2 linked regions of the Bombyx mori genome follow. Each later gene encodes a partner of the first gene's protein in a complex. Links are inferred from orthologs where the notes say so. Each region holds a gene or a part of one and is shown on either strand. Other genes may lie near its edges.

Region 1 (4,615 bases):
AGAAATATATTTGTTTTTCCAGATCGAATATGGTTATTGCCTACCATTTATGTACAAAGCAGTTATTGTCACTTAGTCACGTTTGCCTTTCAAGTGTCTATATACTCTTTGACCTCCTTAGGTTTCTAACAGATGGTGGTGTAAGTTAGCTGACATGATGATTTACTTCAAGGTATGTCTGAATTTAAAGTCTAAGCATTTCATTTATTTAAGTAAAGTTCATTGATATTTATATTTATCAGCAGAAAACACTAATTTGATTTTTAGCCATATACACAATTAATATTTTAAAATACTTACCATTGAATTAGAATTAGCTTGAGATAAAGTTGTTGGCATTGTAACCCTTCGGTCTGCAAAAGCTCGTTGACCAAACAACGTAGCTCTAGATGCCATTGATGGGGGAGCTCCGCCTGGCATTGCAGTTGAATTACGGCCAGGCGACAAGGCGCCCCCAAAAGTTGGTGTCACATGTCCTGAGACACTACCAACAAGACCTGAGCTCACTCTGCCTCCAACGCCACCAACTCCGCCACTAGCTAGGCTTCGAGGCACTTGTTGAAAATTCAAGTTTGCCATAACCTAAAAAAATAAGCCTTTTTACAATATGATATAATTATTGTAGGTAACATTGCCCTAAGCACGTCATTACGGATCTCCCGATCTATAAACGGTGCTTTTAGGTACCTTAAGCACCGGCCACCGTCCTCTCTGAACCTGCACAACCCACTGCTTGTGGCGAAGGGCTCAACGAGTAAATTAACCAATAAACACAGCCCACTGAGTTTCTAGTTGGATCTTCTCAGTGGAAGCTGAAATATCTCCCTCTGCTAGCCTCTCAAGGCTATCAGCATAGGTAGGGGAAAAGGATAACATCTTTATGCTACATTTACCGGAAACCTGACTTGTGCCTAGTGAATGCTTAGATTTAATTTAGTTTTGATCTAAAACATAAAACGTTTCTTAAGCAAAAATACCCATCTACTTGGTAAAAGTTCCTCTTAATAATATATAATAGATAAATGACTACACACAATGGACTATAATCATGTAGTGGACATATTTAATAATTTTACAGAGGTATTGTCAAGGAAGTGTGAGACGAAGTTGATGTAGAATAAAATTTATTCAGATTCATGCCTATTTCATTTACAATTTCAAATATTTAAATCGTGTTCCAATTTTATAAGCAGATATAATTTTTATTGCTCTTACATTATCAGTATCTGGTTCGTATTGTGATTTTAGAGTTCATTTATAAGAATAATTTTCACAATTTAAGTATTTTGCACAAGTAATTACAGTATGTTGACACAATGGTTATATTAAACGGAAAAGCAGTTAAATTCTGTGCCAATATGTGCAGAACCTCTGAATACAATGTTTGTTGTAAATCAGAAAATTTGTTATCAAGTTTGAGACAAAAGAGATCAATTTTGTGTGACTCAACTCTATGGAATATGGGCTATAAATATATAATATAAATAAAACTAATATTTAAATCATGGAGTAATCGGTTGTAAAGTAGTTGGAAATGTGAAAGAGAAAGTAGAAGGAATACTTAACTATATATGGAATTGCATGCTGCTTATTATTAATTTAAACTTTGGTTAAGTGTATGCATGACGTATGAGAGAGATGATAGTTGAAGAGCATCACAAAACTGTTTTCAGTTGAGCATATTATACAGTAGAGAGGATATGGAGAATGTATTAAAGATCAGTAAATGGCTTAGTTGCCCCTGTCAAACAATGGCGACAATTTTTGTTGTGATGTTGTTGGGCTCACTTTGAGAACGTTGTCAATATTTACCTATTATCAGTCCTTGTTCAACTATTTTATAAAGAATAAGAATGGTTCATAATCGCGTATACTCTGCCAAGATAAATATTTCCGCTTCGATGTAATAAACAAGATTTGTTGACTGTCCAATTTTGATGTTTTTTGTGCATTCAAAATTTTAAACACCAATATAAATGGTACATAAAACTGTCTTCGCGTAAAACGCTGCTATAAAACACTGTAAACTTGATACATCTTTACGTCACTGATAAATGTTTTAAAATTTTCATACGATTTCGCTGAACGCCACATTACCCTAAACAACAGGCGGCCATATTGTTAAAAGGTTGAAGAAGCAGACGGAAATTATCAAAAAGCTTCAAAACCAGGCCGTATGAATTAGTTTGTTAAAAAATAAAAATAGTTTTGACAATTTTATTAAATAGTTTAAATAGTATAAATCGTTTTGTCTCTTTATTATAGATCTGTCATTTAAAATTTATACTAATATTTTTAAGAATTTACAATAAAATTATTTAATTTACATTACTATACTACCCATACTAGTGCAATCCGTAGCATCGTTACTGTACATAAACCTGTAATACTGTACATAATACTGTGCTTAAACGTGTATTTGAGAGTTTTATAAGACTCTACAGCATAACTATAAGTAGCAAACCTGATCTTCATGAGTTTGGCTACTGTGCCTCGTAGAACTTCGTTTCTTCATTTCTTATCTTTGTTCAGAATTACTTTAAAAAATCTCTAAATTAGGATTAAAACAATTATTTTTTAACTTAAAGCCTTATTTTTTAAATAATCTAAACTTCACAACCATTATTTGAAAATTATAAACTACCCACCTCCCTTGTCTAAAACTAAACTATTCCTGCAAAGTGCCGGAAGCTTGGTGGATCATTCATCTTTCCTAATGATTCCGATAGGTGAACAGATGAATGGATCGGACGGTCTCATTATAATAAAACCCAACCAAAAAATATTTTAAACATAACTGAAAACGAGTTCGAGTCAGACATCTATTATCTTCCCTGAGGTGTTTTCTGTATCACTGTGAATACAACATTTCCGGCAGATTGGATGGCGTCTGAAAGCAATCTACGCACACATTACGTAGACTACAATCTAATGAAATTTAACTAGGTATATATAGCAAATATTTGATTCTTCGTCCTTTTCTAAATCTTACATTAGAAAATGAAAATTTTAAACAAGGAAAATGTATACGGTGTATAAGATTCAGATCTTCACGAATACTTGGATTTAGAAGCGATTCGTTAATATTTGAAGAGAACATCAGAACCTTTCTTTGAGGAAGCTGCACGGCGTAATAGCCCTCTTATCGTAGCCGCCGTAAATTACATTCCCGACCTATATGATGACAACGAACAATCGTCGTTGCCTTATTCGATCCAGGCCTTCGGCCTTCTTCAACCCAGTCTCAAGTACCCTCCACTAGCGTCGTAAAATCGAAGCTTAACTGAGAGTACTGAACCCCTATGACACTCACTGAGTTTCTCATTGAATCTTGATTCTTAACTGGTAGTAGATTCAGCGAAGCCAGAGCAGTGTTAACAATTTCTTTCAGGTAGAGGTCTGTGAGCTCGCCCACCACTGGCGTTGGTACAGATGGGTAGAAAATCGTTAAAAATACATTTTACCTAGTTCAAATTCACAATTTACAACAGCAGTTAAATTGTGGATTTCATTTCAAAACATTAACGAAAATATTTAAGGATCGGGTGCACATTGCTGTTATTGCAGATTTAACAAAGTTTCGACAACGGTCAGAAGACGGTCCTTCGGTGTGCTTAGTGCAAGTTTTTTAACTTCTCAATTGCGTAAAAGATCTCAAATTTGTATGTAGTGGAAACAGTGCCTCTGGCGGCAAACATGGGAACGCTATCTGATTCCAAAAATTTTATAATAGCTAAAAAAAGTTTATTATATCTTATTTACATAAATAGAACAAAATCAAAAAGTTTTTCTGCGTGCTTTATGACTAGCGACCAGAATACGGCCTCTGCCGACCTAGTTCTTATATCCTTTTCACTTACCGACATCGAGCAAAGAAGGATCGAGATGTATATATTGATTCATATTCTGAATATTTCAGAAAAAATTGTCTATGTCTGATCAATACTTTTTGGCAACACTAAGATCATATGATTGTTCAATAAAGAAGCACGTCTGATAGGCGTAGACTTCTTTCCCCGAGCCAGTCATTAATTTTCTGGCTCTATATCGGCCGTTTTTCGTGTTAGTGGTGTTAAAAATAAGCAGCAGCCATGGCGCTCAGCGATGCAGATGTTCAGAAACAGGTATTTGTTATAAACAAAACTGATTTATCTACAAAATCAAGTATTTTAAGGATTATATGTCACGATCATTGATCGGGATGTGCCATTGTAATTTCGACAACTCATAAGACTGCCTCGACTGGACTTCATGTTTTTGAGCATTATACTCCGTATTTTTGATCAGAATGTTTATATTTTTCAATTCAGATCAAGCACATGATGGCCTTCATCGAACAAGAGGCCAACGAAAAGGCCGAAGAAATCGATGCGAAGGCCGAGGAGGAGTTCAACATCGAAAAGGGCCGTCTTGTCCAGCAGCAACGTCTCAAGATTATGGAATACTATGAAAAGAAGGAGAAGCAGGTTGAACTTCAGAAGAAGATGTAGGTTTCCGTAAAACTAACATACAACCTTATGCATACTCAAAGAACATACGAACGAACAATCATGTGACCAAGCAGTATTGATTACGACTATTACGATTTCTCAAATTGAACATTCAATATGTATTA
Region 2 (4,310 bases), on another chromosome or scaffold:
ACCGCCAGTAAATTGATTGTTTGTATTAAGTAATAAAATCGTGTTATAATGCTCCTATATTTTTAATGAAGCGGTCGGTACCACCATGTAATATTTTGAATTGAAAGTTCATGAGGTTGTAGAGGGCGAAAATCAACTTGTGATTACTAATAGGTTCCAGTAACACCTTAACTGGGCCAAGGCTCATGCAATAAAATAAAAACCTTTATCAGTCATAACTCAGTCAACTTTTTTTACTTTAAAATCGGCCTTAGCTCATAAGCAATACAATCCCAGAACGTTTTTATAGAAAACTGAATTTACATTACAATATCTCCAGATTTTACTAGGTTTAAATTAATCATGTCGTTTCCTTGCATTAAAACTATATAATCTCAAAACTTACTAATTTTATAGGAGAGTGTTTTAAAGGTTTATAAACATGTAATATTTTTAATACTAATCATCTTCGCAACTTTAATTTTTTATTTTTTACCAGTTACATTATCTGTCTTTTAAAGTAAGATAAAATTATGTATTAATTTAGTTAATAGTAGGCAAAACATAGGTAAACAACAAAAAATAAAAAACTACGCCCTTTTGACAGTATTTATGAGAAAAATACTGGTGATACCAAATGATTCCGCATATTAACTCAATTTCGAGTATTTTTGGAAATTGTACACTTTTAATGCGAAAAGACGATGTGTCTATATTTCATAATATATGTTAGGTCTTACCCATCACTAAGCGGTATCAATGCAGAACAAGTGGCCCGGGCCACAGCACTGGTGTCAGTCAAACGTTCGGCCACAATCGCCTGCAGCGGTGAGTAATCAAACTCCAGGTCCTTAGGAGATACTTCTGTCATCATTACTTGTTTTGCTGATTTTTTCATAACCTACAAATTCGGTAATAACTGATCATTTTTTTTGGTTACATCAGTAAATAGTAAAAACGAGTCTTAGTCTACTGTAAAATTCACGCATTGTCGCTTAGTCACACTTGCCTTCTAAGCGTCGATATATAGGATTTTATTTTAAATAAATTTAATATCATATATATCCAAAATCATAAAGTGAAACTCACATCTTTAATGTTTACAGGCAAGAATCCATGCAGCTGTCCTATAAACAGTCTCTCCTGTGGAGCTAGAGGCAGAAGACCCAGCTTCCCTTCTAGGAGATGCAAGAACAATGGGCTGAATGGGTTTTCTCCCTTGTAGAAGTCATATAGAAGAGCCAGTGCAACAACACGCTGCCCAGGGAGTGAAAGATCTCCGCCCGTAATCAGCGATGACAGGAGCAGACTTACTGAAATTAAATTTATATTCATATATAACTTTAATGATTGTTATTAAATAGATATCAATACAAAAGTTGTGTATGGATACTATCATTTGAAAATGAAGTATAATCCAGCAAACTCTAAATTGGGGATTTCCAAAAAGAGAAATTTATACATTTTATATTCCTGTTATGGTTTGTGAATATTTTCAACAACACATCTCAGGTGATATACTTCAAATTTTACCTGGGTAAGCATGTAACAGAGATGATAAATACCACAATAAGGTTCTGCTACCTAGTTGATGAGCTTTGAAATGTTTGGAGATGAAACAAGCTATCATTCACTAACAACCACAATTAATTACCATTATTTATTTATTTATTTATAACTTCTTATACTAGAAAGTATAAAGGCGGACTTAATGCCATAGGCATTCTCTAACAGTCTACCTTAGGGGAGTGCAGAGATGAAGCTTGGTAGGTGTATTATACAGCTGTACGGTGAAATGGACCACTTATTATCAACATTACATCTTATTAGGGTTTCTTAGTAGGGATATTGCTAATTTACAGTACAACAGTAGTTAACAGACACTAGTCTTGTACACAGATACCCATATCTTTAGGTTGATTTGAAAATGCTAATACATTATCATCCTGAATTTACCACCCTATCATTATTTTCATGTAAGCTACCTTGAAAGGACAAATCCTGTAAGTGTGGTGTGTAAACGTAATGTTGATAAGCACACGGCTAAACTTAAATTCCCAGGAATTTTAATCTTTAAATTTAAGTCAAGTCTCATAGTCCTGCCAGTGGAATTGATATTTAATAAAAATATATTACTCACGATTAAAATGATCGGTCTTCGGGAACTTTTTTTGAACTTGAACACATATTGAATCTAAGCCCTGCGAATCGACTGTCTGTTCGGAAAATAAACTAAAAAGAAAAAATAAATAACAATAACAACATAAACAACTTTGCAAGTTTAATTTCTCGTGGTGTTTTTACTTACTCGAGTATGTATTTACTGTTTTCATTAATCAGATGTTGAGACATTTTATTTATTTAACTAATACTTATCAAATAAATTTATACGCTTAGACGAAACACAAAATAATGAAAATAGAAGTTTTTTAGTAAAAGTCAAAACACAATTCGTTAACAATACAAAATTGCTTCATTAAGAAACAATTATACAAATTTTACAAGTTTATTTATAATTGGAGAATTAGGTACTGTTTGGTACTGTTGTATGTACACTTGATATATCATTTACGAAAACAGTATAACCTTACAAACTTACAACTTCTTTTAGGGCTTGTAGTTCATAAATAGTGTAGGTGTAGTTATATAGTATATTCTGTATATTGAAGGCATTAGCTGTTTAAATGTCTTATCTGTGGCATTAAGCTTAGCTCTACTGTAAGGATGTATAGCTCCTGAGTGAGTGATATAAAAGATATATATCACTCACACCGATAAAATGTATCACTAACACTGGCTCCAAATTATCAGTAACTCATTTATAGCTCACTAGATCACTAGCTCATGAAAGTATCGTGAATTGATGAGCGAACGAAAGAAAAAGGAATGAGTGAGATAGATGCATCGTGAGGCTGGCTGACGAGAATGACCGTTCACTTCACGCTAATTTCATTTCGACGTATTGGGTTGTCAAGGAAAAATGTACATTATTTCTCTAAGAGCAAAGCTTAACATAACTCTTGTATTTTTGAAACTAAATTTATACTTGCTTTATTTTCTTACACAAAAAGCTAGCCATTAATTTGCGAAGTTAATACATATTATGAATAACGCGATGCTTTATCAAAAAATATATTTTAAAAAGTCTCTTAATGTGTCTAGTTCTATGGTAAGCTGCATGTTGTAAATATTTAATGTTTTTTTAATACTTAGTTGGGTGGACGAGCTCACAGCCCACCTGGTGTTAAGTGGTTACTGGAGCCCATAAACATCTACAACGTAAATGCGCCACCCACCTTGAGATATAAGTTCTAAGGTCTCAGTATAGTTACAACGGCTGCCCCACCCTTCAAACCAAAACGCTGTACTGCTTCACGGCAGAAATACGCAGGGTCGTACCTACCCGTGCGAACTCACAAGAGGTCCTACCATCAATAAGTTTAATCATAAAACAGTGTAAATAAACTATATTTTCTATTACTTAGTGTATGAAAGGCCCTGACAGTTATATAATGAACTGACCATTGTAAATATTCCAATACAAAGTGAGTGATATATGTATACTGAGCTAAATAATCTAGGCTAAGAAATGAATTAATTGAGAGACCAATCTATTGAATTGAATCACTGGTCTAGTGAGCTAAATTAGTGATTTGTATCTTTAGCGCGAAATGATATGTATCTACCTTTTCAGCTCAGTGATACATTTTGCGCATGACTATTCTAGTTATTCTTCTTTTTCTTGTCTAGTTCCATTTTTTAAACTTGAAAGGCAAAGGTATCGTACGATAAAGCCTAATCTTTTATATATATATTTATATTTTTATGAAAAATGATTATGTTGTGAAATGAAATGAAGTTGATTAGTTTGAAACACTAATCAATTGGCACGAAAATAAATGAAATGAGATGAAATGATACGGGATGAAATATAATCTCAGTAAATGGTGGTTATTTATTAAAACTTTTTCAGTGGACTTTTTGGAGGATTCAGAGTAGCCACGTCCAGCGGCTTTTTGTTTAATATTCCCACTTTTGTGCACTTTCACAGGTACCAAACAGTTAATAAACCACCGCTATTAGCTTTTAGTTTAGTGTTTAATTTTTAACTTAGCTTATAATGATCCTACCGTAGATAAAGTGTAAACTTTAGAGACACTTAGAAGCACCGATTCGATTCGATCTATTGGGAACATCATTTTTCGTCAAATCGATTACCTATTCTATTAGAACACTATCTACAGTTGTTAGTTTAATATATCCTTTGTGGGACACCTGGTATGTGCAACCTCATGTTATGAGCCGTAACTTAAAGAAAGCCTTATATATGG

What was found.
Region 2: regulator of gene activity (region 1) and CCR4-NOT transcription complex subunit 11 share a complex: the UniProt entries of both Homo sapiens proteins name them as parts of the CCR4-NOT complex. The link is inferred for Bombyx mori from reciprocal best matches to the Homo sapiens genes CNOT2 and CNOT11.

The regions. Positions count from the first base shown.
Region 1 is NC_085113.1:7,420,101-7,424,715, forward strand, and holds the start of regulator of gene activity, read right to left. Parts: upstream 2,875-4,615; 5' UTR 2,516-2,874; coding exon 2,465-2,515; intron 583-2,464; coding exon 301-582; intron 1-300. UniProt on the Homo sapiens protein: Component of the CCR4-NOT complex which is one of the major cellular mRNA deadenylases and is linked to various cellular processes including bulk mRNA degradation, miRNA-mediated repression, translational repression during translational initiation and general transcription regulation.
Region 2 is NC_085125.1:1,943,034-1,947,343, forward strand, and holds the start of CCR4-NOT transcription complex subunit 11, read right to left. Parts: upstream 2,831-4,310; 5' UTR 2,332-2,830; coding exon 2,288-2,331; intron 2,212-2,287; coding exon 2,120-2,211; intron 1,293-2,119; coding exon 1,069-1,292; intron 881-1,068; coding exon 720-880; intron 1-719. UniProt on the Homo sapiens protein: Component of the CCR4-NOT complex which is one of the major cellular mRNA deadenylases and is linked to various cellular processes including bulk mRNA degradation, miRNA-mediated repression, translational repression during translational initiation and general transcription regulation.